Linked DNA regions of Ovis aries. The protein of the gene in region 1 interacts with the protein of each later gene in a pairwise test. Links are inferred from orthologs where the notes say so. Each region holds a gene or a part of one and is shown in the gene's direction. Other genes may lie near its edges. The genes, in order: INSR, SH2B1, SHC1 and MAD2L1.

Region 1 (7,924 bases):
TCTTGCATCCTGAAGGATTTCCAGAGGGCAGTATGTCCCTTGGAATTTTAGCAAATGCCACCTGCTTGAAATTGTTGGTGGCTTTTCAGTCAGTTGACTTCAGTCGCTCAGTTGTGTCTGACTCTTTGCAACCCCATGGACTGTAGCATGCCAGGCTCCTCTGTCCATGGGATTTTCCAGGCAAGAATACTGGAGTGGGTAGCCATTCCCTTCTGCAGGGGATCTTCCAGACCCAGGGTCCAACCTGGGTCTCCTGCATTGAAGGCAGATTCTTTATTGTCTGAGCCACCAGGGAAGCCCAACCCTTTGGTATAAACCCTTTAATGCATCCTTGTTGCTTTTAGGATAAAGGGTGTGTTGAAGACAACCCATACATGGTATATCCCTTTTAGTCTCGCCTACCAGCCCAGCCTTCCCCTTTTCTTTCTTTGCTTTCTTTTCTCCAGCTACAGTGCCTGGCTCAGTTGTGAGAACACTGGCCTGTCCTCTGGGCCTTTGCACACGCCGTTCCCTCCACCTGGAACATTTTCTTGATGCTTCCCTGGGCTGGCTCTCTCTCCTCAGATTTCAGTTCAAAATCACCTCTTTGGAGAATCCTTCTGCCTCTCCCCACCTCACCTTATAAAACATCTGATGTGCGACTTAATGGCTTTCTCCTTACACTGGGTTGTGAGGTCTACAAGGAAATGAATGGTGTTTATTTGGCTCCCTGCGAATCCCCACTGCTTACTGCATGTTGATTTTTCCGCTCAACAAATATTTATTAAGCAATGGATATGTCAGTCACTGGGTGTAAAATACTGAACATGATGGACAAGATTTCTGCCTTCCTGGGGAGGGGTGAATACACACAATAAGTCAGAATTTCAGGTAGAGACACCAGCGTGCTGTCTGGACAGGAACAAATGGAGGAGGGGACAGGGAGTGTTTGCAAAGTTGGTCAGGGAAGGCTCACTGGAACAGACAAGTGGAGCCAGACACCAGAAGGACAGGGGAGGCAGGAATAGACTTGAGTTAGAAGAACAGTGGGCCCATCTACTGGCAAACTAATATTTGTTTAATAGATGAAAGGAAGAATGAATGCCCTCAGCCAACAGTTGTTCTGGGTGCTTTGTCATGCTTTATTTCCCCTGGGAGACTGTGTGTGTGCATGCGTGTGCGTGCTCCGTTGTGTGTGTGTGTGTGTGTGTGTGTGTGTGTGTGTGTATGCACACGAGCTCAGTCATGTCGAACTCTTTGCGACTCCATGGACTGTAGCCTGCCTCTACCCATGGGATTTTCCAGGCAAGAATACTGGAGTGGGCTACCATTTCCTCCTCCAGGGGATCTTCCTGACCCAGGAATCTAACCTGCGTCTCCTGCATTGGTGGGCAAATTCTTTACCACTGAGCAACCTGGGAAGCCCTTGCTGCTGCTGCTGCTACTGCTGCTAAGTCGCTTCAGTCGTGTCTGACTCTGTGCGACCCCATAGTCGGCAGCCCACCAGGCTCCCCTGTCCCTGGGACTCTCCAGGCAAGAACACTGGAGTGGGTTGCCATTTCCTTCTCCAATCCATGAAGGTGAAAAGTGAAAGTGAAGTCGCTCAGTCCTGTCCGAGTCTTAGGGACCCCATGGACTGCAGCCTACCAGGCTCCTCCCTCCATGGGGTTTTCCAGGCAAGAGTACTGGAGTGGGGTGCCATCGCCTTCTCCGGGAAGCCCTTACAACTCACCAAATCTGACCTGAAGGTGTCCTTACGTGCATCATACAGATGAGGCCCATCGAGAGAGAGAAAAATTACTCATTCAAGCAGATTCTCACTCCGTTCTGGCTTCTCTGTGCTTAAGGCCCCTCTTCAGCAGGCGGGGTGGCCACTGTCACGTGACTGACGTTCAAACACACACGGACTCTGGGTCTGCGCATTGAAACTTGGGTGTGTCCACCTGTGTTCTACCGAAGATCTCCAGCGCCTGGTTTGCACTTTTTTTTTTTTTTGCTAGTTTCTACACTTTCTCCTAAGGGTCATTTCTCCACCTTGAACCACGCATCGTGCGGAGGGGCCAGGCTACCCAATACTTGAGCGCACGCGGCACGCTCGTGCACGTGGCTGTCCCCAGGGGCCTGGCTCTGGGCGGGGGCGCACTCTGGGGTAGGACATCCGGGGCGCTCGAGGGCCATACTCACTGGCCAGACTGTGACGAGGGGAAGGTGAACGCAACATTTAAGGGAGTACCAAAAAGCCGAGTAACCACGATAAACAATATTTTAATGCAATATTTAAAAAAATAAAAATGAATTTTCTAAAGTCCCACGAAGAACAAACTAGCAAAATGTTTTAAACACGCGATCCGACTTGCTGAGTTGGTCAATCTGGGGCGCTCCCGGGCTCTGAGACAGGAGTCCTGGGGCTGTACGGGGCGCTGGGGCTGGGCAGGCATCTAGGGCGCCCCCTCGGCTACGGCGCGACGGGGGCCTCCAGCGCGGGGCCCAGGATAGGGAGACCGGCGGGCGGGCGGGGCGGCGCCTCCCCCCTGCCCGTCCTCCTTCCACCCCTCTCGGGCCTCTGCCGGGCGCCGAGTCCCTTCCGAGCCCAGATCCGCGCCGCCTTTTCCCGCGGCCCGAACGGGGCCCAGCTGACGGGCCGCGTTGTTTACGGGCCGAGCAGCCCTGGCTCCCGCCGCCTGCCCGCCACCCGCCAGCCCAGGTGCCCGCCCGCCTGTCCGCACGTCCGTTTGTCCGCGCGTCCGAAGATCGGAGCTCCGGAGCGCTCGGGGCCAAGAGCCTAGAGTCAGGGGGGCGCAGCGCGGGGCTCCGGGCCCTGAGATCGTCGGGACGGGGGCGCGGGCCGCGGGGGCCCGGAGTCGGGACCGTCTCCACCCGGCCGCGCTGCCGGATTCGTAGCAGCGGAGGCCGCGCGCCCCTCCCGGGGCCGTATCTAGAGTCCTCCCGGGCGCAGGCTGCGGGACCTTGGGCTGCCCGCGTGGAAGAGAAGGACGCGCGACCCCCAGCGCCTCTGGGGCGGCCGCCTCGGAGCATGCACCCCGCCAGCCAGCGCCCCGCGCTCTGATCCTTCAGCCATGGGCGCCGGGGGCGGGAGCGGGGCGGCAGCCGTGCTGCTGCTGGTGGTCGTCGCCGCGCTGCTGGTGGGCGCCGCGGGCCACCTGTACCCTGGAGAAGGTGAGTCTGGGGGGTCCCGGAGCGGGCGGGAAGCCGCGCGGGTGGGGAGGGGACCCTTTGCCAAAATGGAACCACCCCCCGTTGTGGACGGAGTGCCGTCCTCCGTCGGAGGGCTGGTGGCTCGGACGGTTTCTCCGGCCTCGCGGGGGGCGGGAAGCCGCTGACCTTGGCCTTTGCCCGCCTGGGCTAGCGGTTCCACGACCCGCATGCGGCCCGGGGCTGGAGGAACCTTGCCCTAGTGCCCGCCCCTCCGCGGGCGCCTCTCCCGAGAGCGCTCCTCGAACCCCCGTGTCTGGGCCTCTCTGAGCCCACCACCTGGCTCCAGAGACGGGACACACGTCCTCTCTGGGTCGCCTCCGAGAAGTAGGGTCATCGGACACTCTCACACAGCCAAATGCCCCGGGCACAGACGGTTTGGAGTGAGAATCGAGGGTGACTGACTGAAGGCAGGGTGGTCCCTTGAGATCCCAGCAGCTTGGTGACGCTCCCCCAGGGGCCGAGGAAGTGTAGAACCCGCCCCTTTCTTTCTGGTATCTAGACCCACGGCTACCCCTGACTTCAGGTCCATGTTTATACTCTGGAATTCTGTTTCCAGATGTCGGAGGCAAGCTCTAGCCCTTGGCAACAGCGCAGCTGTAGTAGCAGTAGTGTTGGCTTTTATGATTATTATAGCTGGTGTCACCAGATGCCTCGGGCTGGCCGGTCTTATCTGTCTGGATCTCTGCAGCAGCCCGTGGAGGCTGATACTGTTGTTGGTCCATTTCATAGAGGAGTAAACTGAGGCTCAGGAAGGACACAGAATTCACTTGCCCCAGAATCAGAGCTAGAGAGAAGACAAACCTCTCTGGCTCTGCCCAGGGCTCTGCCCAGCTGCCCACGCCCCAGGAACCCCTGGTAACCTCCCTCCTCTACCTTTTTACCTGTCAGCTGGGCAGGTCTCTAATCTGTGGTCAGCCCAGCACCTTGCCCCCTCTCCCTTCCAATTCTCCCTCATGAGTGTCCCTGGGCTAGCAGCTCCCTGGTATGGGGAGAGGGGTAAGTCCCAGCATTTTCCTTGGGCTTGACAGCACGTCTTTCTGGCTGCAGGTCAAGGATGGAAAATCCTTGAAGAGAATATAACTGGGGTTTCCCACCATGATGGCGGAGGCCCTGCTTTCAAAATATGTGTTGGGTTACTTCTTCAGATTTCTCCATAAAAGGAAATCAGTCCCGATGAGGAAGGGGTCAGGCAGGGAAGGAACAGAAGTTCCTGAGTTGCCTGTCGGTGAGTGGGGATGCACGAGAAAGCACGTGGGGGCTCTGGAGTTGACAAACCGGGTTTGTGGAGCACCTTTGCCAATTAGGCAACGTCTCCAAGCACCCAAGTGCCTGGTATACAGTGAGTGCTCCTCCAAGGAAGGGTAGCAGTGGATTTAGGCTCTTGTTAGAAAAAAAACACACACACACACACACACAAAAACCCAGACCAGCTGTTAGATCTGTGTCCGGCTTTGTGTGTCCATGCCCGTGTGTGTCTGTGTGTGGGTGCACATCTGTATATGCATGCAGTTCCTTGCTCCTCTGTTCCTGGTAGCTTTAGGAATTAATGGTGGATTTGTGCCTGGGCTGGCTTTCCTGGTGGCTCAGATGGTAAAGAATCTGCCTGTAGGAGCCTGGGTTTGATCCCTGGATCGGGAAGATCCCCTGGAGAGGGGAATGGCTATCCACTCCAGTATTCTTGCCCAGAGAATCTCATGGACAGAGGAGCCTGGTGGGCTACATACAGTCCATGGGGTCCCAAAGAGTCCGATACGACTGATCGACTTTCACTTTCAGGGGTCAGTGGATGGATTTGCCACTTCTTGCATGTTTATAGCTTCCACGAGGGAGAGGCTTATGTTTCTCTGTTCACTGCCACAGTTCCAGAGTCTAGAGCAGCCCCTGACACCTAGGAGATGCTTGATACATTTATTTATTTTGACCGTGCTGGGTCTTCATTGCTGTGCTGGGCTTTTCTCTAGGTGTGAGGATCGAGGCTACTCTGTAGTTGCTGTGCATGGGATGGGCTTCTCATTCCAGCGGCTTCTCTTGTTGTGGAGACCGGGCTCCAGGGCACGCGGCTTCAGTAGTTGTGGCTCGTGTGCTCAATAGTTGTGGCTCCCTGGCCCCAGAGTGCAGGCTCAGCAGCTGTGGCACTCGGGCTTAGCTGCTCTGCAGCACATGTGGTCTTCCCATACCAGAGGTCGAACCCCTGTCCTCAGCATTGGCAGGAGGATTTGTCGCCCTTGGACCACCAGGGAAGTCCTAAATATTTGTTCTAGATCCAACTCCTGTCCTTCCTGTTCTTCCCAGGAGTCCAAGTCATGGCTCCTTTATTCTTCAGATAAAACCTAGCTGACACAAATACAAGCAAATTCTACACACTCGGCATTGATAATCTCGATTAATCCTCACCACAGCCCTCCGAGGTAAGGTTTATCATCCATTTCGAAGGTGAGGAACTTGGATGAGGTGGCAGTGCTGAGATGAGAACTCCGGTTTGTTAATAAAAGGTTTCTTAACAGAAGGTTCTTCTTGGGACTCTGAGCCTCCCCGCCCTAACCCCTGTGGTATAAAGGTTAACAAAATACTCTCGAATAAATGACATGTGATGCCCTTCGGAGGTTTGGGGAGGGGCAAGGAACTTTCCGGATCGTTGGTTAATCTCCAGCAGCAAGCAGTGTGGCATTCTGTCTGGGGTGGGGGTGGGGTCGATGGAGATCAGTGGGATTTTGAAGGACTGAGGACTCTCTCCTCGATGTCACATGGGATGGGCCAGCCCATTTCATCCCCCCTGTGGAGTCTCTGTGGCTTGGCTGAACTGGGCAGTGGTTTTCCCTCCCATGTCTCCTTGGGTTGACCCACTCTGGCCCGAGATGACCCAGGAGCACTGCAAAGTCAGAGAATGAAGGCAAAGTGGGATTAATTATAGTGGAAACTGAATCTTGGCAGGGGCAGTGAATTGATGAGTTGAGGTGCTAGATGTTGCTTTTGGATCCCCTTACATCTCGAGGTGGAATCTAGTGTTTCTCTTGTGGTTCTCTGGTGCACTCTGGGACCCTCAGATCAGAACTTCTGCTCTCTGGGTCAGTTCTCTGAGGTTCTTCCTAGTCTTTGCTTCCCTCCTGGTGACCTGCCTCTCGACCCTGCCCTGCTCATTCATAGAGGTCACTGGGGGCGAGCCTCACCCCATGGGCCCCCACCTCACTCCACTTCCTCATTGACATCCTTTATTTTTTGGCTAGAATAGACCTTCTCAATTTCTGTGCTCTTGATCTATGAGGTTGGATAGTTCTTGGTTGCAGGGGGCTGTCTTGTGTATCTTAAGATGTTGCTCACTGTCTGCGGTCTCTGACCAGTAGCAACGCCCCTCTCCAAGTCATGACCACTAAAAAGTGTCTGCAGACACCACCAACTGTCCTCTGATTGAGAACCACTGCTTTTGGTGCTAGTGGTAAAGAACCTACCTGCCAATGCAGGGGACACATGAGGTGTGGGTTCAATCCCTGGATCAGGAAGCTCCCCTGGAGGAAGGCATGGCAACCTGCTCCAGTATGCTTGCCTGGGAAATCTCATGGACAGAAGACCCTGCCAAGCTGCAGTCGATGGGGTCATAAAGAGTCAGACACGACTGAAGTGACTTAGTATGCAGGACACTTATCCACTTAGGTCCCCTCCTCTCTCCCCTCTGTTCAGGGATCTCCATCCACCCAGAAGCCTTTTTCTTTTCAGCCTATAAACACTCAATACTCCCCAGGACCCCGGTACCCACCACCCACCTTTTGCCTTCCTCTGTCAAGCCTCCCCCAACCGCTGATGGGCACTCATCACCCTTGCTCTCTCACCTTTCACCCACTGCTCTGCCCACAGCATCTGGCTTGTGTCTCCATTGCTTTGCCCATGGTGCTAACCAAAGTCATTCCTCACCTACCAATGGCAGCCTCACCCCAGCTGACTTCTCTGGGTTTTGCTTCCCCTCTCCTGGTGAGTTTTCACCTGTCCCTGGCTCCTCCCATTCTCTCTCTTCTTTTCCTCTGCTCCTTTTCCGGGCTTATTATCTTGGCCTTCATTGACGGCCATTCCCTACTCTGACTCTCTCTCTTACGCTCACTTGTTAATTTATATGTGGTCAAAGTCTTTAGAACAGGGGTCGAACCCTGCCCGCCCACGCCTGTTTTTGTAAATAAAGTTTTATTGGCACGCCGCCATGCCCGTTGGTTCACGCATCCTCTATCGCTGCTTTCGTGCTCTAAGGGCAGAGTTGAACGGTTGTGATCGCGTGGCTCCCAACAATATTTACACTTGGGCCCTTTCCAGAGAAAGTTTGCCGACTCTGGATTTAGAACAAACTCCTCGAGGATCGTTATGACATGCCTCATAGCTTGTGTGGTCCCTGGTTCGACTTTGAATGAATCAAGTTAAATGAAATGCCCAGGAAAAACACTGTGTTTTTCCCTTTACAGATCAAGCCTTATTAAAGAAACTGATACCATTTGCTGTGCTGAATGTATGGGTTCTGATGGTGAGAAAATAACAGTGATGTTCCTTCTTTGGGTGTGTCTGTCTGAGAGATCTTTGAGTTTATTTGTTTAAACCGTCTTCTTGGCATTGAATGAGGACTCTGTGCTATCAGCCCTGTCTCTAGTGCCAAGAGAAAGTGTTATCTGCTGGGAGATACCACTTGCGGGGCCTCTTGAGAACCCCTTATGTAAATTTCTATGAAGAACACAGTGGGAGTGACTTGCTTTAT
Region 2 (7,939 bases), on another chromosome or scaffold:
AGTGCCGATGGTCCGGTTGCCGTCCCGCAGGGTGAAACGCTGGCCTTTCTCCAAGATCATTGGCTGCCGCAAGATGAGCGTGAGCTTCAGGTCCTCCCCAGGCATGGCAAGCTCCTGAAAGGCAGACACAGACCATGTTTCAGGGCACCTTCACTTCCTATTGGTTACCAAGGTTAAAGGTTATGGGAAAATGCAGCAGGGTGATTCTGGGGAAACTTCTGTCCTAGCTGTTAGGCATATGCAAAGGCAGAAAAGGACTCATGGGACTTCCTTGGTGGTCCAATGGTTAGGAATCTGCCTGTCAATGTAGGGGACATGGATTCGATCCCTGATCTGGGAAACAAGATCCCACGTGCCGTGGGGCAACTAAGCCCCTGTGCCACAACTACTAAAGCCCACATGCCCTAGAGCCTGGGCTCTGCAACAGGAGAAGCCACCGAAATGAGAAGCCCGTGCACTGCAACTGGAGAGGAGCCCCCACTCTCCCAACAGCAAAGCCTGTGCAGTGCAACGAAGACCAGGGAGGCCAATAAACAAGCTATAAAGATAAAAATTAAAAAGGACTAGCCATTAGCGTCTCTAAAGCTTTTCTTGAGGAAAAAAATTGTTTATAAAATTTGGGGTTACGCAGGTCTTGGGCTCAAGACTTCTCTTGAGCCTTTACGTAAAATACAGTGGAACTCTCTACTACAGGAACTCTGCTGGGGAATCTGTGTGGGTCAATGCTAACACAGCTAAGGAACCCTGGAAGAGGATTCGTTCCGCCTGAACCCACTGATCTGACCCTTCCATCACCAGCTCTCCTCTTGCACCATCAGCCAGGCTTTCTTCACCAAGGAAAAGTCACCCCCACTGCCATACACATCATACCTTCCCTGGAGGTAAGATGATCCGACAGGCCATGTCCCAAGTCAGGGAGAACATGACAGGCATGAAGTGGGATACAAAAGGCTTGTGGCGGCCACCCTCTTCCTTGCTGAGGATGTACACCTGTGAGAGGGAGCAAGAACATGGGTGAAGCCGGGCCTGGCTGGAAGCACTGACCCTCCACAGTGCCTGCCCATCACCTAGAGCCCTCACCTGTGCCTCCACCTTCTGGTGGGGCTGGATGGAACCTGGCTTGGCCATGACCAGGCCACGTCTCAGGTCCTCCCGCTTCAAGCCTCGGACCAGGGCCCCAAGGTTGTCGCCCGCCTCTGCCCTATCCAGGCTCTTGTGGAACATCTCAATGCCTAAGAGAGGGGAGACACGCAGGAGAAGGGTGTGGGGGCAGAGGGAAGGCATGGGGGGGGTCTGTGGGGGGGAGATGTCACCCTAGCCTGGGTCCCAAGGCTGCCTCCTGTACCTGTCACCACAGTGCGAATATTCTTGCTGTGTCCCAGGAATTCACACTCGTCTCCTTTCTTCAAAATGCCACGTTCGAGCGTGCCTGTCACCACTGTGCCCCGGCCTGGGAGGGAACAGGACAGGGCATCAGGGACACCGGATGAAGCGGCAGAGAGGGGAAGGGAATGCAGTGAGCCAGGTCCTCACCAGGGATCGAGTACACTGACTCCACGGGCAGCAGGAAAGGCTTCTCCAGGTCCCGGGTGGGCACTGGGATGTATGTGTCCACAGCATCCAGTAGCTTCTGCACGGACTTCAGGCCTAGCTCAGGGTCACGTTGCTATGAGCGGGAAGTGACAGGACTCTGAAACTTCCATTCTGCTCTTCTTACTTGCCCAGAGCTAGGCCCTGGACTCAGAGCAGAGCTCTGGGTGCCCATCCAGCCCCCTCCCCAGCCTGACCCCGCCTTCACCTCAAGGGCACAGAGGGCAGAACCAACAATGATTGGAGTCTCCTCCCCTTTGTAGCCAAACTCAGTCAGCAGTTCCCTGATCTCCAGCTCCACCAGCTCCACCATCTCAGAGTCCTGCACAGCGTCCGCCTTATTCACATACACCACCACATGCTCGACACCAATCTGCAGGTGAGAAAGACACACAGACGGTGTCCTGAATGGCCCAACACCCGCCCGCCCCCCCTTCCACCCCTTCCCAGGCTCTTGAGTACCTGTCTGGCTAGCAGTAAGTGTTCTCGGGTCTGGGGCATGGGGCCATCATTGGCTGCCACCACCAGGATGCAGCCATCGAGGGGGGCAGTGCCTGTGATCATATTCTGGGGAGAAAGAGGAGAGGAAGTAGTGCAATTCCATGACCTCCTCCACTCCCCAGCCACCTAGCTAAGCACAGACACTTCTTTACCACCTGCTGTGACTGGCCAGGCCCACAGATCCAGGATCTCCAACCCATACATCTCAAATATCTTAACCTCCTCCCCACAATCCTAACGTTTTTCCTGAGGGGGGCAGTTCCCAAGCCCTGTCCCCAGCGGCTCTCTCACCTTAACGTAATCTGCATGACCGGGGCAGTCAGTGTGGGCATAGTGGCGGGCGGCTGTGCTATACTCCACATGAGCCGCATTGATTGTGATACCTCGGGCTCGCTCCTCTGGGGCGTTGTCAATCTCTTCGTACTTCTTAAACTTGGCCCCACCTCCCTCCGCTAAAACTAAGGGAAGGAAGGGAACACACTTTTCAGCAAGGCCCTTTCCACTTTAGAAAAGGACAGTCTAGGAAAAGCAACCTTCCAAGATACCCTCCTTCAACTCCTGGGACTAGTAACTCCAGATCAGAAAGAAAATAGAGCCTCAAGGGCTAGCCCTGTGACTTCTCTAGGCCAACAATTCTGCTTACAGGGCACCTTCCCAGGGCTGGAGGGAGGCCACTGGGGGGGTCCCCCAACTTATGCATCAAAAACTTCGTGTTCACGGGAAATCTGTCTTCTGCATCCTGCAGTGTACTGTCCGCCCAATTTCTGGCGCCTTGTGCCCTGGTAAGTCACTTCAGTCGTGTCCGACTCTGTGCGACCCTATGGACTGTAGCCTGCTAAAACTAAGGGAAGGAAGGGAACACACTTTTCAGCAAGGCCCTTTCCACTTTAGAAAAGGACAGTCTATGGACAGGCTCTTCTGTCCATGAGATTCTCCAGTCAAGAATACTGGAGTAGATTGCCATTCCTTTCTCCAGGGGATCTCCCCGACCCCAGGGATCGAACCGGCCTCTCTTACGCCTAACCTGCATTGGCGAGCGGGGTTTTTACCACTAGCGCCACCTGGGAAGCCACCTGGCGCCTTTGGGGCAGCACCAAACACCTAGGCAGTTCCTCCGCGGGCCCCGCCCCCTTGGCTCCAAGTCCCACCTGCAGAGCAGGCGTTGCTGGAAGCCCCCCAACCCAACCCCACTTACTTTTCGTGATGGCCGCGGTGAGGGTGGTCTTGCCATGGTCTACATGGCCGATGGTACCCACGTTCACATGGGGCTTGTCACGTACATAGGTCTTCTTGGCCTCCACAGCCAGGCCACGGCACAAGACGGGCAATGCCGGGGCCTTCAGCTGCCGCAAAAGACCCTGCAATAGTGGTGCTGGGCCGGCGCCGAGACCTGCCGGGGCAGATGCCTGGAGTCACGGCGCAGGTCTGAGCCCGGCCGCTCCCGACGACCCCCACGTGAACCCGGGGCGCCGTGGCCCTCCCCGCCCCCTCACCGCTGAAAAGGGGCGTCGCGCGCAGCAGGGTAGCGGCCGCCATTGTGGTCGTACTGGCGCCGTAGAGAGTACCGGGCACGGGGGCCGGCGCGTGCAGCGGGGAAAGGGCAATTGCGGATGGAAGTCGCTTCCGGCGGAAGTTAGGACCGAGAGGGCACGTCTGGGCCCCTCTAGCCTCCAATCTCTATGGCCCTGTGAACTTCCGGGCGCGCGACAGAACCCGTCCAGGAAAGTGCTGATGGTGGTAAGGTGGGGAAGCTTTCCACGGCGCCCTCCAACCTCGCGGGCTCAGGAGCCACGCAGTTCTCTCTGGTGGCGCCGGGAGGCGATGTGGAGCATCTCATAGCGCGCCTACGCCCCGGAGGCTCATGGGCGTTGTAGTTCCCAGGGCCGTGAGCTGTACTGGCACGTATCGTGGGAGGGCGAGGCCAGGTCCGGAGGGACGGTCCAGGCCTTCTTGAAGCAGAGGCAGCGGCCCCGGCGTGGATGACTCCGGAACGTCTTGGCCCCGAACCACTTGGAGTCCAGTCCGACCCGCCGCGCGGGTCTGACGACAGATCTGGCGGCCTTGTGTCGCAGCTGGAGGTAGGACCAGCCGCTGCGGCCAGGCTGAGGGAAGACTCCCGAGAACCTGTTGGGGGTGGGTCTCTAGTGTGACCCACCTCTCTTTTAAGCCTTTGTTTTCTTATCTGTGAAGTGGGAATAGTATCTACTTTACAGGAAGATCCTGACATCTAGCTCTGAGAGGAAATGAGCTGGGCAAGAGGCAGAAAAGGGGTCCAAAAGCCTCCGGGTCCTACAGTCTTTGAGACCCTCCCCTGGCTCAAATGCCCTGTGAGCCAGGGGGGACAGAGTTTCCTGTCCACCCCTGTCGCCCCTCAGCAGGCCAGAGTAATTCTCTGGATCGTCGGTCAACCCACCCGGTTTTACAGATGACCAGGTGAGAGACCAACTTCTTGTGCCTTTAAGGGCAGCCTGAGTCTGTCTTGTTCCCGCTGTGTCCCTGGCACCTACCACAGGGCGGGGCACTCAGTGAGTGCTCAATTAATGTCTGTTGACTGAATGAATGAGTGCAAGGATAGTAAATGACCTTTAACTTTCACATCCATCATCTCATCACCGTGGGATGATAATAGCAGCTGCTTAACCTTGATTAATGTTTCCAAAATTCATCAGCTCCTAAGACTCAGCTGATGGTGTCTGTTTCAAATAGATTCCTTAATTCCTCCCTTGGAGATTATGATTCAGTAGTATCTGGGTACAGACAAGAAAACTATATTTATTTTTAATACTCTTCTTAAACTCATAGGAGTTTGGGGGACTCAGAATTAGAGCTTTTCATGGTTCAGGCGTTGTGCTTCATGTTGCTTCTCATTCAGTATCACATTCAATGTTATACTGTGTGATAGGACCCCATTTTACTAGTGAGAAAACTGAGCATCACGGTAATTAAGGAACCCAACACAGCTAAACTCCAAAAAAGTGTGCATTTAGCCACTTCACCGAACTATAATTTAACTGTCATTTTACAATGAGAAACTTGCTAAGACTTCTGTCTTCCTGGCCCTCTAAACCCATCAGCTTTGATGAGAAAGGGCTTGTACAATATGAAAGGGTTCTCCTTGTCCCCAACCTGAACCTCAGTCATTCCACTTCTAGAAATTTATCCTAAGACACTATCAGCCACTAACCAGGATATGAAATATTGGGGGCTGGTACTTAAATTAATGCTTTCTTTTTTAGTGGTGCTATATTCATTTTAATGTGTATTAGTTTGAAAGAAAGGCTGGCATTGTAAATGTTGTATTTAAAAAAATGTTGAATCAATTAAAAAAAACAACACTTGGTAGATAAAATGGGTGATATGAATATATGGCAAATCTGGGGAGAGGTGTATGTGAATGACTGAAATTTGCAAAACACAGTGCTCAGGAAAGAGTCCAGAGGGACAGAATTTTTGTAGAGCTTTTGCCTGTTGCACCCTATGTCACAGGAGTCTGGATTTGCAGATAATAGAATTTACATGGGCTGGTTGGAAAACTGTGTCAAGGTGGTAGGCAGCCTACAGAATTGTGGAACGGGCTGAAGAAATGGATCCTAAGCCACAGGTCTGACCTGACCTGGTAAGAAAACTGCTTCTCCTGACACTGCCACCAGACACTAAATGCCAGGACTTAGACTTGTCTGCAACAGCTGCTGCTCATGGTCCTGAAACCGCTTCTACATCAAAAAAGTGACCTTTGGGACTTCCTGGTGGTCCAGTGGTTAAGAATCTGACTTCCAGTGCAGAGGACTTGAGTTCAAGTCCAGATGGGGAACTAAGATCCTACATGCTGCAGGGCAACTGGGCCTATGTGCCACAACTACTGAGCCGGTGGAGTGCTCTGGATCTGTAAGCCACAACAAGGATCCCACGTGCCACAACAAGGATCCCACGTGCCACAACTCAGACCCAACACAGCCATAAATGAATAAATATTTTAAAAAGAAGGAGGAGACACCGAGGAGACAGACCACCTTCTGACTCTGGGAGTTGTTGGATCAGGATGGGAAGCCTGGAATTACCATGCCCATCATGCTCCCATCCGTGGTGAAGCCAAAAATCCAGAAGTGGGCAAAGAGGATCTTAGAAGCCTGGACTCTACATGGTGTGAGATGACAAGTGTCTTTATTGTTTAAGGCAGATGGTGTTAGAGTTGTCTGTTACTTAAAGCCAAATACACCCTAACAGATAAGTCTGCCTTACAGCACTTGGACGTATTTCTTGGTGTCACTTGTCTGAGACTAAGTGACTTGAGTGGGGTGAGGACTGGGCTTCCTTTATCTCCATATACTGTGTGCCTGGCCATAGCAGGTCTCTGTGCATACTTGCACTTGAACTGTTCATGAGCCTTCCAAATCGAAGGGTGCTACCACTGTGATGCTATGAACCTAACATACTCCAAACAGGACACTATGTTTCTCCCATACTCTCTTTACATATCTGAATAAATGGCACCACCTTTGTCCTTTTCCCCCAAACCTACATCTGTCCATTACCCAGTCCCACTGGTTCTCCAAAATAAATCTCAGTGTAACCGTTTCTCTCTCTCCCCTGTCAACACTGGGCTTCAAACTGGGATCATCTCTTGCCTAAGTTACCTCATGATCTCTCCAGTGGGTCCTCCAGCTTCTGTCCTTACTCTCAATATCTGTCAAATCCATCTTCCACACAACCAGATCAGTCTTTAAAATGTGAATCAGAAATGAATCCTCCCTTAGTACACGTGGAATAAAATCCAAACTCCTACTTATTTAAATGGGTGAATTGTATGGCAGGTAAATTATATTTCAGTAACATACATATTTTTGTCAGTAAACATTAAGAAAAAAAAGTCCGACATCCTCCCTGGGGCCTGTGGTCTGGCATGGCCATGATCTAGCCCCTGTCCACCTCTCTGATCCCCATTTGGTACTTTCCTCTCACTCTCTCCAGCCACACTGGGCATCCTTCTGTTCCACCAACACCCCAGGATTGCTTTTACCTCAGGGTCTTTGCAAATGTGCTTCCATCTTCCTGGAATGTTCTTCCCTGGAGCTTTCCCCACAGCTTGTTCCTTCTCGTCTTCCAACCTCACATGTCACCTCTTTTGACACCCTCTTATCAATGGTCCTCTTATTTTCTTGATAGCACCTAAATATCCAAAATTATCTTAGTAGTTTGCTTGTTTGTTGGGTTTTGTTTTTTGTTACTTTTTTCTCTCTCACCAGCTCATGATACTAAGAACTTTTACTTTTTATTTTAGGAATAGTGTCTAACACTTAGGTCAAGAAACATTTGTTGAAGGAAGAATTTGTTGAATCATTTCAGTTGATCATTCAGTGAAGCATTGTGTTGGGCTTAAGTTTCTGTGTTTTCAGTGGAAAGCAAATTTTGTATTCACATTCATTTAAAAAATACAAGCGAATCACTAGAACTTCTGAGGCCTCTGCTTTATAAAATGGGGGGAGTGAAGAGGTAAAACTATGATCTGTAAGGGTTTTTTTTTTTTTTTTGTAGCTGTAGCTTCTAAAAGGAGGTGGGGTCTGCTGTAATTGACATGGGTTCTGGGCTGACCTATAACTTAGTGGCAAATTGGGGACTAGGACTTAGAGCCTTGTCCTTGGTACCACTCAACAGACTTATTGGAAACTCAGGGGCATCTTTCACTCTTTTTAGGGGCTCACAAGTTACAGACACTTCTGTCACTCAGGATATTCCAGCCAGCCTGGCAGTGTCTCCTCAGAAATCCCTCTGGACATTCACCTTGGAATTAACCCCACTGCACTGCCTTGGCTGGGTCAGCATCATCCCCCTCTTGGACCACTGCACCCAT
Region 3 (7,346 bases), on another chromosome or scaffold:
GGGCAGTGGCAGAACTTCTTCATCCTGACTTCCCTGAGGGACCAAGGAAGGAGAAGTCCCAGGGCCCTTTGTGAAGAGGGGGGAGGTGGCTTACCGGTGTCCCCTGTCCCTCCCCTCAGTACATGGGCTGTGTGGAGGTCCTGCAGTCTATGCGCGCCCTTGACTTCAACACCCGGACTCAGGTCACCAGGTCAGTGGGGCTTGGGGGAGGGGCAGTCCCAGGATTCATGAGAGGTGGGGAGAATGGGCCACTTGGTGGTGCTAGTGATGGTTTATCTTTAGGTGGTAAAGGGGGTTGAGAGAAAGTTAGGGAAGTGAGTCTAAGTCTTAATGTAAAGGGGCAACTCTGCCCTGGCTCCTTATTATCCAGCCCAGGGAGTTGTGGGGGAGGTGGGCAGAGGCAGCTAGCAGCTAGAGCTGGAGTGGAAAATGGGGGTAGCTGGAAGGTTGCTGCTGCCTTTGGGAAGGGGATGGGACATTTGGTAGCTAGAAGGGGGTGGGGCCAGACCCATTGAGGCCCTAACCCAATCAGCCAGGAAGCGGCCTCTCAGTGTCATCAAATATTAAAGGCCCTTAATTCAATCCACCACGACAAAGAGCCTGGAGTGCCCCTGGAGTCTGGCCTGGCCTTCCCCTCCCCCAGCCCTGTGGCGGCCCCAGCCGAGTGGGAGGCAGGCTCTGGGTCTGAGTATTCCTCTTTCCCCAGGGAGGCCATCAGTCTGGTGTGTGAGGCTGTGCCGGGTGCTAAGGGGGCAACAAGGAGGAGAAAGGTACCCGGGGTCTGTGGGGCTAGGGATGCTGGGAGATGTGGAGGAGCAGGGGGAAGGCTAGTGTGGGGCAGGTGGGGAGAAGTCCAGAAGGCAGGAGTGTGGGGGTTTCCTGGTGTGGGGGACCCCCCAGCTTCTGAGACCCGTGGGCCCTTCCCTAGCCCTGTAGCCGTCCACTCAGCTCCATTCTGGGGAGGAGTAACCTGAAATTTGCTGGAATGCCAATCACTCTGACCGTCTCCACCAGCAGCCTCAACCTCATGGCCGCAGACTGCAAACAGGTTGGTGGGGTGAGGCGGCGGGGGTGGGGTGGGCAGAAACATCGATGGGAGGGCTAAATGGGAACTTGGTTATGAGGGTAAGACACTGGGAGAGAAGGCTTGGGAGCAGTGGAACAGTAGGGAAGGAGCAGATTAAGAGAACATGCGTTGAGAAGCCAAAAGGATGAGACTGGGACGCCAGGGTCTTGAGCCAGTGGTGGGCGGTGCCCAGTAGACTCTGAGGCTGCCTGATGCCCATCATTCCCTTCCTTCTCCATCCTCTGCCCTAACCCTCAGATCATTGCCAACCACCACATGCAGTCCATCTCGTTTGCATCCGGCGGGGACCCGGTGAGTTGGGGAATGGAGCTTAGGTGGTGGGAGGAGAGTAGGGGGCTAGGGATTGGGAGGACACTGGCAAGAGAAGTGAGCCCGCTAGGATTGCGGCAGTGTCTGAGAAAGGGGCCTGAAGGGGTCAGGAGTAGGGTGGGGCTATACAGTTTAGCTAACTGGCCTCTTCTGCCTCTGTCCACCCCAGGACACAGCCGAGTATGTTGCCTATGTTGCCAAAGACCCAGTGAATCAGAGAGGTGAGGTGTGGATGGGGAGCACTGGGTGGGGCTGGCTGTCCAAGGGGCAGGTGAGCAGGACCCGGGGGCTCCTCCTGCCGAGGGCCCCTCCTGCCGAGGGCCCCGTCTGTGCCTCCTCCCAGCCCCACAGTCCCCCCGCCGCCCAGCTCCCTAACAGCCTCTGCTGCACCCCCAGCCTGCCACATCCTGGAGTGTCCCGAAGGGCTTGCTCAGGACGTCATCAGCACCATTGGCCAGGCCTTCGAGCTGCGCTTCAAACAGTACCTCAGGAACCCACCCAGGCTCGTCACCCCCCACGACAGGTGCGCGGGTGAGGCAGGTGGGGGCGGGGGGCAGCCCACTCCCGGGGGCCCCAGACCAGAACTGGAAAAGGAGGCCTGCTCTTCCACAGTCCAGCTCAGAAAAGGGCAGGGAAGGAAATAACCTGCGTGCCCCTGCTTCCTGCTATTCTTAAGTTTCCTGTGGCCGGCAGGAAGGTGCTCCGTGGCCCTGCCCGCTGCAGGGCCAGCTTTTCCCGTCGGGCGCCCGTGGCGGGGCTGCAGTGCAGGACGTCCAGCTTGTCCCTGGCTAGACGGGCTTCTCTTTTCCCAGCCGTCTCGTTTCTGGTCTGTCTTTTTGTGCTTCTGTCCATACGTAGTTTAGTTCTTCACGTTCTTGCCTCTAGAAGCCATCAAGAATTTGGGCAAGGGAGGATGGCTCTTTCCTGAGATGGTCACGTTTCCCACCTCAGACCAGTAGGATCGAGTATTTAGAGGAGGGGTTGGGATATTCTAGGGCACCCCCTCCCTGGTTACTTGGTGTCTCCCCTCCCTCTTGGGAGACCGCGTGACGATCAAGGGCATGACGTTAAGGCAAACTCTGAATTGACACTCGGCTCCACCAGTAGCGGTGGTGGTTCAGTCGCTAAGTCATGTCCAGCTCTTTGCGACCCCATGGACTGCAACACGCCAGGCCTCCCTGTCCTCCACTATCTCCCAAGGTTTGCTCAAACTCGTATCCATTGAGTCGGTGATGCCGTCTGACCATTTCTTAGTTGTGTGACCAAAATCTTTTTATCCCTGATCATCATTTTCCTCAACTAAAAAACTGGAGAAGGAAACAGTATGTGCTTTATCGGTTGCCCAGAGAGTGAAATGATTATACGTGAAACACCCATCCTCAGGCCTACCCCTCAGGGAATGCCCCATACGTGACCACTGTTCCGTTCTCCCTCCGTCCTCCCATCCACACTCCTTTCTCCCTCCTGTCTCTCTCAGGATGGCTGGCTTTGATGGCTCAGCTTGGGATGAGGAGGAGGAAGAGCCCCCTGACCATCAGTACTATAATGACTTCCCGGGGAAGGAACCACCTCTCGGGGGTGTGGTGGACATGAGGCTTCGGGAAGGAGCCCTCCCAGGGGCTGCTCGACCCACTCCACCCAGTGCCCAGACCCCCAGCCACCTGGGAGCCACGCTGGTATGTTGCTTGGATGGAGGCGGGTGGGGCTTGGATGGGAGCAGCTGGTTAGGGCCTCTGGTTTCACTCTGTCTTGGTCCCTGCAGCCTGTGGGGCAGCCTGCTGGGGGAGACCCAGAAGCCCGCAGACAGATACCGCCCCCGCCACCCTGCTCAGGTATGAAGGGGACTGAGGGGCAGAGGGGAGTGAGAAGCAGGGCGGGGCCCCTCTAAAGCCTCCGTTTTCTCAGCAGGCAGAGAGCTCTTTGATGACCCCTCGTACGTCAATGTCCAGAACCTAGACAAGGCCCGGCAAGCAGGGGCCGGGGCCGGGCCCCCCAATCCTGCCATCAATGGTAGTGCACCCCGAGACCTCTTTGATATGAGTAAGTGTGCCTCTCGCCTTTCTGTGTCTCCATCTTCTCACTTGATTCCTCCTCTTTTCCTGCCTCTCTGCTTTTTGCTTCCTGGCCTCCCCTCCCTAAAGGTCTAGGTCCTGAGCATAGGGTTGTGTCAGCTGCCTCTCCTAGCCCTCTCTCTGTATCCCCAGAGCCCTTTGAAGATGCCTTGCGAATGCCTCCACCTCCCCAGTCAACAGCCATGGCTGAGCAGCTCCGAGGGGAGCCCTGGTTCCACGGGAAGCTGAGCCGGCGCGAGGCTGAGGCACTGCTACAAGTCAACGGGGACTTCCTGGTGCGGGAAAGCACGACCACGCCGGGCCAGTACGTGCTCACCGGCCTGCAGAGTGGGCAGCCCAAGCACCTGCTCCTGGTGGACCCTGAGGGAGTGGTGAGTGTGGCAGGGGTGTAGGTGGGCATGGCAGAAAGGAAGGTGCAGTCCCCTACCTGTGGCTCTGCTCCTGCCTCACTGCTTCCTAGACTTTGTCTGCTGGGCACCTCTGTCTGGGCCTCCCCTGTTCCCAGGTGTCTGGCATCTCCTTCGTCTAGTGGTTTAGAGTTCCTTCCCTTCTCACATCCCTCACCTGAGCTGTATTCCCTTCAGTCCTTGCCAGTCCCCAAACGTTGTGCCCTTGAGAGCTAGAAAGTGGTCATCTCACTAGTCCCTCTTTTGACAAATAAGGAAACCATCCGCCAGAATTGTAGTGCTCTATGTCAGATGTCTAGAGGCGAAATATCCTGAAACTTTTCACAAGAGGAGCCAGGGGCCTCCCCAGCTCCTGCAGACTCAGGAGTCAGACCAGAGCCCTGTCTCCTGTCTGCGCCGCCCGCTGCCCCTCATGACTTCACTCTTGTTTCTGCAGCAGTCTCAGCCTCCTTTGCATGTCTTTTTGTGTCCTGTGTATCCTCTTCTTGGACATACCGCCCTCCTCCAGGTCAGGGAAGGAGTAGCTAGCCTTCAGTTTCACGACTTCTGGGCTCATGTCTGTTCTGCCTTTTCCCAGTTCACTGACTTGCCCATTCCCACATCTGTCTCCAGCTTCTCTTCCCAGAGAAGCCTCAGTGATCAGAACTGAGAGCCCTCCCTCTCCTGCCATCTTTTTCTCCTGCCTCAACCCTCTTGACTATCCCAGCTTCCTCGGCCTTGGAGACTGAGATTTTATCTGACTCTTCACCTGAATCTCCTTTCTCTGTTCCCACTCCCCAGGTTCGGACAAAGGATCACCGCTTTGAGAGTGTCAGTCACCTCATCAGCTACCACATGGACAATCACTTGCCCATCATCTCTGCGGGCAGCGAACTGTGTCTCCAGCAGCCTGTGGAGCGGAAACTGTGACCTGTTCCAGTGCTCTCTCTCAGAAGACGGCCTGCGGTCCCTTCCACCCTATTCCCTGACTCTTTGGACCTCACTTGGGAGTGTTCGTGGGCTTGGCCTTGTGTAGGACTGGGGATACTGTGGACACTGGGTTCAGCATGCAGCTGAGTGAGAGGGTTTGAGTCAGGAACCAGGGGTAGAGTCCTGCTTCTCCCCAAACCTCACCAAAGTATTAATGTACAGAGTGGCCCCCTTCCCTGGGCCTTTCCTGTGCCAACTTGATACCCTTTTCCCCAAGGTGGGTGCTGGAGGCCTGGGCAGGATGCTTCCTGGTAATGGAAGATGTTCTGTGGTGATAGGCCCAGTGGAGTAATCACCCTTTCAGGGAAGGGGAACTGAATCATACCTTTAGTCTACCCCTGGGCTCAGGGTACCCCAGACTCCTCAACAACCCTCCCTCCCAGCATTCAAATTTTGTGCCTTTGACCATCTCCTAGGTCTGAAGATATTTTATGCAAAGAGTTCTTGGGCCCCTGAAGTCAAGGATGGGGGTGCTGACAGCTTCTTGGCTTCTGGGACCCCGTCCTCTCCTCGCTCAGCACCTCCTCCAGTTTAGGTTGGGCCAGCAGAGGCAGGAGTAGCAGCTGTCCCCTCTCCCTGGGATGTGCAGCCCTTAGAGACTGCCGCGGCACCCTGCTCTCAGCCAGTGGGGAGATGGACCCCTCCCTTGCTCAGTGCCTCCTGGCTGGGGCCCCTCACCCAGGGCTCTGTATATACATTTCGTAAGCCACCCCCCCCCCCCACCATGTTGCATGCATGTTATACTCTACAGCCAAAGTACAGCCCTTCTTCCTGGCCTCTGCCCTGCCTCCCCCTGCAGGGGTGGTGAGGGGGGTGACGGAGCTGCCATCCCAGCTGGATTTGGTCGAGGTGGGAACAGGGGCATTGAGACTTTAAAGCAGTAGACAATCCCCAGATACCATTGGTAGGTTTGGAACTGCGTTTTTTATTTTATATGCATATATTTTAGGGCTGTAGATTTACTTTCCTAATTTGTTTTCCAGAGCTTATTCCTGAGCACAAAATGATGATAATCGATGACATTTATACATCACCTCTTTGACTTTTTCAAAGCCCTTTAACGACTATTGGCATTTTCCTCACCCCGGCCTGTGGGGCAGTTGGAATCGGTAGCATTATCTTTTCTACGAGAGAGACCCAGAGAAGTGGAGTGTAAGCTAGGACTACAGAAACTTGGCCCTCCCACTGCGAGGCGGGGAGGCAGAAGTTTGGCTGTTAGTTTCACACGAGGCGGGGTCACGGTTATTTAATCCCTTCTCCAGGCCTCGCCCTGCAGCAGCAACAGAGGAGCCGGTCCTGCTCTGTCTTTAGGCTTTGTAGCTAAGGGAGAGTGGACTATCTAAATCCTCGCCTCCCTTTTGTTCTTTTCTTTTTGTTTGGATGTTTTCACGGGTCTCACTTATACCAAAGGGAAAGAATCTTCATTAAAGTCCATATTTCTTCTACCTCGGCCTCTAGGTCTCTGTCTCAGCTTATTGTTGGCTCTGGGCGCCCCCCACGGCAGGAGGAGAGGCTGGAGGCCGGACTCGGCCTCACCTGGACTCGCTTGGGTCGCACTCGAGTGAGAACTTAAGGAAGGATTCTCGTAGGAGGGTGCGGCGGGGTGGGGCGTGCGGGGCCACCATGCCAGGGGATGTTCGTGTCTGCAGCGGGGACCGAGGCGGGGTGGGATCGCGGACAGCCGGACCCCAGGCGGCTCGGGCCAGCGTGCACCCCTGCAGCGGCCCCTCGGCGCGGGATGGTACGGCCCAGCCGCAGGGCCGACGGCTGCCGTCTTCCCTAGCGAGCCGGCACGCCGCGCTCCCGGGCTGGAGACGGCCTCCCCCAGGCTTGCGCCTTGGTACGGCCCTGCCCGCCCAGCGCTAGGGGGAGGGTCTGGCCCGGGCCTTGCTCCCCCTCCTCGCCGAGCGCAGTGGTGGCTGCCACGCCGAATTCCGCTTCCTGTGGCTGCGGTCGCTGGCGGGCGGTGAGGCAGGGCGAGCGTGCAGTTGGCGCCGCGGCTCGGCAGCCCCGCCTCGCCGCCCCTCGGGCTTGCTGCCGCGCGGGGGCCTGCGCCGCCCCTGCCTTCTCTTCCGGGCCATGGTGCAACCCGAGGGCGCGTCCGTCCCCCGCCGCTGCTGACCCGGGTCCCCCACTCCATGGCCGCCTCGGCGCCGCCCCCACCGGACAAGCTGGAGGGAGGTGGCGGCTCCGCACCGCCCCCTGCGCCGCCCAGCACCGGGAGAAAGCAGGGCAAGGCCGGTGAGAACGCTGAGGGGGCTGGGGCTGGCGAGGCTCAGAACTCTCGGACCTTGGAGGGAGGGCTGGTGGGCCGGGGAGGTGGCGGCTCTCAGGCTGAGGGCCCTGAAGAGAGGGGATGCTCAGTGGAAAGGATAGGTGGGTGAAGCCCTCCAGGGGTTGGGGACGAGGGGTCACTGACTGCCGATCCTAGAGTTTGGGGCACCTGGAATGAAGGAGCCACTTGGGAGTCTGAGGCTATCAAGGGATGGGGACGTCTCTCAT
Region 4 (7,891 bases), on another chromosome or scaffold:
TGTTTCTCATACTAAGACTTCAAAATCTGGTACTTTATTCTTGTAGCATATCTCAATTCAAACCAGCATATTTCAAGTTCTTAAGTCACATGAACTTAAGTTCTTAAGAACACAAAAAAAGTACTAACAAATACTTGCTCTACAGATGGAAACCTCATATATTTCACCAGCCTTCTAGAATTTCCAAATTATATTGATACTAATGATTGTTTGCATCTTCAAAAAATTTACAAACTATACTATTGTGAAACTGAAGGATGTGTTTCCTGAAGTGCTAAGTAGTAAGCTCCTTAGAAGAGAGACAATTTCTACCTGGAGAAAGGTGGGCATCACGCTCTACCAGCGTGGCTCTAACCCAAAATCCTGGTGGAAGAAATGAAAGGTGATTTAAAGACACACAAACACACTTGTACCACAGAGACTAAACGATGTAGGGAAAGTATTACTGGATGAAGTCAGCTTATTACCTATATACCTGTTTCACTCTTCAAACTGATTAAATTCTGATATATAACACTGTGTATAGGCAGAGTTCTAAGACGGCCCCTCAAATTTGTGGTCTCTAGGGAATATATCCTATATAATCCCTCCCGTTGAGTGTGGCCAGACATGTATTTACGAGGCAAAATCATTTTGAAGATTCAGTTCAGTTTAGTCGCTCAGTTGTGTCCGACTCTTTGCGACCTCATGAATTACAGCACGCCAGGCCTCCCAGTCCATCACCAACTCCCGGAGTTCACTCAGACTCACGTCCATCGAGTCAGTGATGCCATCCAGCCATCTCATCCTCTGCTGTCCCCTTTTCCTCCTGCCCCCAAGCCCTCCCAGCATCAGAGTCTTTTCCAATGAGTCAACTCTTCTCATGAGGTGGCCAAAGTACTGGAGTTTCAGCTTTAGCATCATTCCTTCCAAAGAACACCCAGGGCTGATCTCCTTGCAGTCCAAGAGACTCTCAAGAGTCTTCTCCAACACCACAGTTCAAAAGCATCAATTCTTCAGCACTCAGCCTTCTTTACAGTCCAACTCTCACATCCATACATGACCACTGGAAAAACCATAGCCTTGACTAGACGGACCTTTGTTGGCAAAGTAACATCTCTGCTTTTGAATATGCTATCTAGGCTGGTCATAACTTTTCTTCCAAGGAGTAAGCGTCTTTTAATTTCATGGCTGCAATCACCATCTGCAGTGATTTTGAAGCCCCCAAAAATAAAGTCTGACACTGTTTCCACTGTTTCCCCATCTATTTCCCATGAAGTGATGGGACCAGATGCCATGATCTTCGTTTTCTGAATGTTGAGTTTAAGCCAACTTTTTCACTCTCCTCTTTCACTTTCATCAAGAGGCTTTTTAGTTCTTCACTTTCAGCCATAAGGGTGGTGTCATCTGCATATCTGAGGTTATTGATATTTCTCCCAGCAATCTTGATTCCAGCTCGTGCTTCTTCCAGCCCAGCATTTCTCACGATGTACTCTGCATATAAGTTAAATAAGCAGGGTGACAATATATAGCCTTGACATAATCCTTTTCCTATTTGGAACCAGTCATTTGTTCCATGTCCAGTTCTAACTGTTGCTTCCTGACCTGCATATAGGTTTCTCAAGATGCAGGTTAGGTGGTCTGGTATTCCCATCTCTTTCAGAATTTTCCACAGTTTATTGTGATCCTCACAGTCAAAGGCGTTGGCATAGTCAATAAAGCAGAAATAGATGTTTTTCTGGAACTCTCTTGCTTTTTCCATGATCCAGCGGATGTTGGCAATTTGATCTCTGGTTCCTCTGCCTTTTGTAAAACCAGCTTGAACATCTGGAAGTTCATGGTTCACGTATTGCTGAAGCTTCGCTTTGAGAATTTTGAGCATTACTTTACTAGAGTGTGAGATGAGTGCAATTGTGCGGTAGTTTGAAGATTAGGTTTAACAAACAGGAAATCATCTGCCTGGGTCTGACTTAATCACATGAGCTGTTCAAAAGGCCCTCCTTGGAAAGAGAGTGCAAGTGTGACAAGGGCTCAAGACTGGCCTCTGGCCAATAGCTAGCAAACCAGTGACGACCTCAACTTAAGAGCAAAGATATTAATTCTGCCAGGAGCCAAGGACCTCAAACCCGGAGTTTAGATGAGATCTCTCTTGCAGCCAGGTGCCTTTAAACTTACCAGGCTACATAGAGCACCCAGCCATGCCATGCCCAGACTCTTGATCTAAGGACTGAGATAATAAATGGGCGGTGGTGTTGTTTTTTAACCACTAATGTGTCATAATTTGTTACACATCAATAGAAAACTAATACACTCAGGCACTTTTTCATATAATTAAATAACTACATCTGGGCAGGTTTCTCAGACTTCATTTCACAAATAATTACTCCACCTGCTGTAGGAATACAATTGCTTCACAATTGACATGACATTAGCAGTGCACTATCTGCTTAATTGGGTTTCCCTGGTGGTTTAGTGCTAAATAATCTGCCTGCCAATGCAGGAGAAGCTGGTTTGATTCTTGGGTGGGGGAAGACCCCCTGGAGGAGGAAATGGAAACCTACTCCAGTATTATTGCGGGGAGAACCCCATGGACACAAGAGCCTGACAGGCTACAAGCCCATGAGTTCGCAAAAGAGGCAGACACCACTTAGCGACTAAACAACATCTGCTTAATACTTCTCATAGAAACATTAAAAGCCACTGGATTTGAGTCAAAATTCACTGAGAAGCTCTTTAGTGTTGACGAGCCTTTTTGGCGAGAGGACTTTATTCCCTGACCAGTTGCCTAGGGGTGGCGAGGTACACAGAGTAGAGGCTGGACTATCAGACGCAGACTTTTGCTGCCCCCAGGCTCCGCCTAGCAGCGGGGTCGGGGGTAGACGCGAGCTGAGCCAGGACGAGGGGACAGAAGGGATTCCGTTCGTCCCTTTCAGACCTAGCCCAATTTCTCAGGAAAAACACCACGCCGGCACAGTAATACCTCTAAAACCTGCGGCACGCAGCTGCTTCGAAAGAAAAGTGAAAGTGTTAGGCGCGCAGTCGCGTCAGACTCTTTGTGACCCCATCTGCTGCAGCCTGCCAGGCTCCTCTGCCCATGAAATTCCCCGGGAAAGAATCCTGAAGTGCTTTGCCATTCCATTCTCCAGAGAATCCTCCCAACCTAGGAATCGTGCATTGCAGGTCTCTGGCATTGCAGGCAGAGTCCTCACCGTCTGAGCCACTAGGGAAGCAAACTCCCAGAGCACCTAGCAAGTTCCGACCGCTAAGGATCACTGGGGCCACTCAGGGTGGCGGACAGTTCATAACACTTTCAAAGAATCTTTCAAACTCGGGAATTGTGCTCCTAGGTCGCTCTGTCCGCAGACCCAGAGAGCGGCCACTGAAACCTGGACCTACCGTCTTGCCCGCTAGCCGCCAGCCCGCCAGCCAGCCCACAACTACAGCAAGAACCCAGACAGCTGTCACCACCCGGGAACGGCGCCGCCACGCCTCCCCACTGCGCCTGCGCGAACCGTCGCTCCCGCAGGGGCGGAGAGAACTGGCCGGACCCCGCCGCGCAGGGCGGGGGTCTAGAGGCACTTCGCGCCTGCGCAAAGGGCGCGACAGGCGGGGTCTAGTGGCCTTCGCGCCTGCGCAAAGGGCGCGACGGCGTCCTGCGTCGTTCCTTTTGAAACGAGTGGCGGGGAACTGCTCCGGAAGCCCCTGGCGTCGCTGTCTGCTGGGTGGAAGCGCGTCCCGTCCTCCGTGGGCCTGGCCATGGCGCTGCAACTCTCCCGGGAGCAAGGCATCACCTTGCGCGGGAGCGCCGAGATCGTGGCCGAGTTCTTCTGTAAGTCCTCCTCGCACGGGGCGGAGGGCGGGGAGAGCCGAGCGCAGGCCGCCCGCAGGCCCGCGGCTCGGCCGGAGCGGCCCCGAATCCCGGCCCTTGTACCGCGGCCTCCGGTGCCGGCAGGAGGGATCAGGAAGTGGGGCGGCGGGCGCCGCCTCCGCTCGCGTCGCTCCCGGCGGAGGAGGCGGCCCGGGCGCTGCGGCCGCAGTGCCGCCTTGCGAAGTCCCCTTCGCGGGAGGGTTTCTTTCCAGTGCAGAGCTCCTCCCACAGCCCCCGCCCCCGCCACGGCGAGGGGCCTCGGGTGGACCGTGACGGGCTAGACGTCTGAGCTCGGCCAGGTGTACCTGCTGACAGAACCTGGCAGGACCGCTGAGGATAAGAGGAGGAAAGAGACGGGGAGAGGCCTGCCTGGGCTTGGTACCCGTCTGTCAGTTGCCTGTTTTGACACCCTCTAATCATAAAATAGGCATTTGAACTTGTTCTACAATGAAATGAAATTTGGCACTGGTAGATTAGTGCAGTTTGGCATTTTTCTTCTGTTGCCACATAAATGCAGCTATCAGACGCAAGATTTTAAGGATTTTTTTTAATGCCACTTTGTACCTACTTGGCTTTCAGCAAAACACAAACACGTGTTTAGACATTTATAACTTTACACTGTTAATGAAACCATAGCCCCATCTACATATGCTTTATTTCCCCCAAAGTTACAACGTGACGATGACTTTAATATTTCTTATGTTTTCAGCATTTGGTATCAACAGTATTTTATATCAGCGTGGCATATATCCATCGGAAACCTTTACTCGAGTGCAGAAATATGGACTCACCTTGCTTGTAACTACTGATCCTGAGCTCATAAAATACCTAAATAATGTGGTGGATCAACTAAAAGGTATTTTATTGTTGGACACAGTTTTGAGTTTTGCAGGCCTTTATGTGAATAGGATCCTCGGGACTTCCCAGGTGATTCAGTGGTAAAGAATCCACCTGCCAATGTAGGAGACACAAAAGACTCAGGTTCCATCATGGGTCTGGAAGATCCCCTGGATGAGGAAATGCCAACCCACTCCAGCATTCTTGTCAGGATAATCCCATGGACAGAGGAGCCGGGCGGGTTACAGTCCATTGGGTTGTAAAGAGTTGGATAGGAGCACGCATTTTCTAGCTTCTTGGTGGTCATTTTTCAGCTCTGCACAGGGTAGTGTAAATCGCACTACCATATCCGATACAGTGAACTAATTGGAAGGGAAGCAAATAACATACAAATTAAAAGAATTCCCACCCTTCCTCCACTTTTGAGTAGACTGAATATTTTAAGGTTCGGAATCTGATATGGCTTAACAAAACAATCTCCATCAACTCCTTCAGGGATGATAGAACACATTGGAATTTTATGTTATTATGATGGCATTCGTTATCTGAGAAAAATACACTGCATGTATTTTTTGTAGCTGCTTGGAGTCTGAAGCCATCATTGTATATATTAAGATGAAGGAATTAAAATCAGATTCAACTTAGGGAACTAAACTTTAAAAAGAAGGAACTACTAAATAACAGCACTCATTGGAATTTTCTTATTTTTCACCTGTTTCCATTTCTTTTTTTTTTTTTTTTTAATCACGCCTGTGAGTCAGTAAGCCTTTTCTATCTGCACACTCATTTTCTTCTTTTAGCTCAAGAAGTTGCAGTATTGTTGGATTAGTAGCTCCATCTATTCCTTTTATTTCTAGAATTTCTACTAGTTTCTTTTTCATATTTCTCTACACTTAGGATTCTCATTTCTAATTTCTCTGTGTTGTAAAATGTTTCTCCTTTTCTGCCCATTAGATCTTCCAAAATACTAGTTCTAAAAATACTACAGCCGCATTTTTTTTTAACTTTAAAAGTCATGAATCACTTTTGTTGTTTCAGCTAGCTTCATTTTCACATTACATCATTGCGTTTTCATTAACTTCAGAGCTAAGCCACCCATAGTCATTCATACGGCTGCACTCAGATTGTTTGGTATGGAACCTCTAGGCAACTATGGATGTATGTCTTCATCTTCATCTGAAGAAGTAGCAAGCCAGCCTTGCCTAAGTTACTGGTTTTTGGTTTGTGTCCTTTGAGACCAATAACATTTCTTGTCAGAGGTATCTACACTTTCCTACTTAATTTCTCCCTTTTAGTTAAAATGGAGGAAATGCTTTACAGGCAAATTGTTCAATTCCACTTTTAAATTCTACTTCTCTAGCGTTAGGAACTTAACCCTGTTTCCTCTCTCTTACGTTGTCAATTTCTTTGTTTTCATTTGGATTATTCCCATTGGTTTCATTTCCATTTTTAAGAGAGAAAAAAATCGCCAACTTCCCCATATCTTCAAATTACCACTCAATCTCTTTTTCACAGGTAAACTGGTAAAAGTTGTTCATATATGCCAGGAGTGAGCGAGGCCAACAGGCCAGATCCAGCAAGTGGCTTATTTTTGTACTGCTTGCAAGCTAAGAATATTATTACATTTTAAAGAAGACTATGCAACGTAGGTGACCCATAAGACTTCAGTATTTCTAAAATATTTTCTATCTCTTTAAAAAAAAAAACCTGCCGATGCCTGAATAAAGTATTCTCAGTTTCTAAGATTGAGGGCTCAGCCTGAGGCCCTCTTACTATAATCTGTCTCTAGTTGACCTCTTACATGTACATAATTCTAGTAACAAGTTGTGTATCTGACTCATGAACCAATATCTAACCAAAGCCTCTCCTAACTCTTGGCTCATATATTGCCCCCTTATGTCTTTATGCAGCTATATAATATACTACTTCATACTCACTATATTAAAAACTGAATTTAGGATCATCTCCATTTCAGTTCTCTTTCCTCTTGGTGACTGGATCAACCATCCGACTACTGATATAAATCAGAAACTTGGGAGCTATCCCTGATTCATTCCTCTTCCTTACCCTGAGGTAATCCAATAAGTCTTAACAGTTTTAACCATGAAATCTCTTGAATCTGTCTACTGCTTCATCTCTACCAGTGTATCTTCTCCAAGTCTTTATTAGCTCTTGTTGGAGTTATGCATGAATTAGTGCCCTAGATCCCCTGTTTACTTCCAGTTTACGGGAAGTTTTGTTGTTTCAGCTAGCTTCATTTTCAGATTACATCATTGCGTTTTCATTAACTTCAGAGCTAAGCCACCCATAGTCATTCATACGGCTGCACTCAGATTGTTTGGTATGAAACCTCTAGGCAACTGTGGATGTTGCCTAGAGGCCAAGAAGGATAGTTTTCCAATACAACTTGAATCACATCATATGCTGCTTGAAACACAGTAATGACCACTTTAGTTCTTAAGAGTGTCACATCTTTAATTTGGTGCTCATGACCTCGTGTGGTCTGGCCCATTTATCTTGTCAGACCAGCCTTGTCCATCCTCCCTTTCTTAAACTGCAGTTGTATTGGCCTCCTTTCAGTCCTCTGATCCAGTGCTCTGTTTTGTGTCTAAGACCTATACCTTTAGCAGGGAGATCCCACATGCCACAACTAAGACCTCACACCGCCAAAATAAATCCATCATTTCATATTTTAAAACCTATACCCTCTTTCCTGTTTTGCATACATATACGGTTGTCTCTTAGAACAAAACTCAAACCCCCGAGTCAGAATTTCCTATTCTGTGCTTTAATTGTAGTATATGTTGCACCATCATAGGTAACCGCTATTATGTCATAGGAAACTGCACCATCATAGCAGTTAGAGCAGTTATAATTTCACATTTATTGTTGTGATTTGATTAATGACATCTCCTTCACCCTTCCCTTGGATTACGATGGAAGTACCTCGTGTTCACTGTCTTAGCACCCAGTGCTATACCTGGCACAAACACTGAGAATCTGAAATCGGGAGCTAGGCCATTGATGGGGCAAATTTTCTGCACAATTTGGAGGAGAACGAAAGTAGCAGTGGGAGAAGTTTGCTGAGGATACGAAGTTGGTCTTGAGAGGAGAGTTGCTTTGTAATGCAGTGAACTAAAAAAGATGCCTTGTTTTGTATATTGCAGAATGGTTATACAAGTGTTCAGTTCAGAAACTGGTGGTAGT

The links.
Region 2: the proteins of INSR (region 1) and SH2B1 interact in binary tests that used the Homo sapiens proteins (3 or more experiments, as listed by UniProt). The link is inferred for Ovis aries from reciprocal best matches to the Homo sapiens genes INSR and SH2B1.
Region 3: the proteins of INSR (region 1) and SHC1 interact in a two-hybrid assay, tested with the Homo sapiens proteins (2 studies listed by BioGRID and IntAct). The link is inferred for Ovis aries from reciprocal best matches to the Homo sapiens genes INSR and SHC1.
Region 4: the proteins of INSR (region 1) and MAD2L1 interact in binary tests that used the Homo sapiens proteins (3 or more experiments, as listed by UniProt). The link is inferred for Ovis aries from reciprocal best matches to the Homo sapiens genes INSR and MAD2L1.

The regions. Positions count from the first base shown.
Region 1 is NC_056058.1:13,930,914-13,938,837, reverse strand, and holds the start of INSR (insulin receptor), read left to right. Parts: upstream 1-2,571; 5' UTR 2,572-3,056; coding exon 3,057-3,156; intron 3,157-7,924. UniProt on the Homo sapiens protein: Receptor tyrosine kinase which mediates the pleiotropic actions of insulin.
Region 2 is NC_056077.1:26,476,541-26,484,479, reverse strand, and holds the start of SH2B1 (SH2B adapter protein 1), read left to right. Parts: upstream 1-3,799; 5' UTR 3,800-7,939. Other genes in the region: TUFM (elongation factor Tu, mitochondrial), read right to left, coding at 1-114, 871-990, 1,081-1,232, 1,346-1,450, 1,534-1,666, 1,799-1,963, 2,053-2,157, 2,383-2,549 and 2 more. UniProt on the Homo sapiens protein: Adapter protein for several members of the tyrosine kinase receptor family.
Region 3 is NC_056054.1:105,186,181-105,193,526, reverse strand, and holds the end of SHC1 (SHC-transforming protein 1), read left to right. Parts: intron 1-119; coding exon 120-190; intron 191-706; coding exon 707-770; intron 771-928; coding exon 929-1,048; intron 1,049-1,324; coding exon 1,325-1,378; intron 1,379-1,565; coding exon 1,566-1,617; intron 1,618-1,792; coding exon 1,793-1,919; intron 1,920-2,873; coding exon 2,874-3,072; intron 3,073-3,158; coding exon 3,159-3,228; intron 3,229-3,301; coding exon 3,302-3,436; intron 3,437-3,600; coding exon 3,601-3,839; intron 3,840-4,655; coding exon 4,656-4,784; 3' UTR 4,785-6,289; downstream 6,290-7,346. Other genes in the region: PBXIP1 (pre-B-cell leukemia transcription factor-interacting protein 1), read left to right, coding at 6,983-7,085. UniProt on the Homo sapiens protein: Signaling adapter that couples activated growth factor receptors to signaling pathways. Participates in a signaling cascade initiated by activated KIT and KITLG/SCF.
Region 4 is NC_056059.1:5,752,577-5,760,467, forward strand, and holds the start of MAD2L1 (mitotic spindle assembly checkpoint protein MAD2A), read left to right. Parts: upstream 1-3,629; 5' UTR 3,630-3,735; coding exon 3,736-3,808; intron 3,809-4,556; coding exon 4,557-4,703; intron 4,704-7,851; coding exon 7,852-7,891. UniProt on the Homo sapiens protein: Component of the spindle-assembly checkpoint that prevents the onset of anaphase until all chromosomes are properly aligned at the metaphase plate.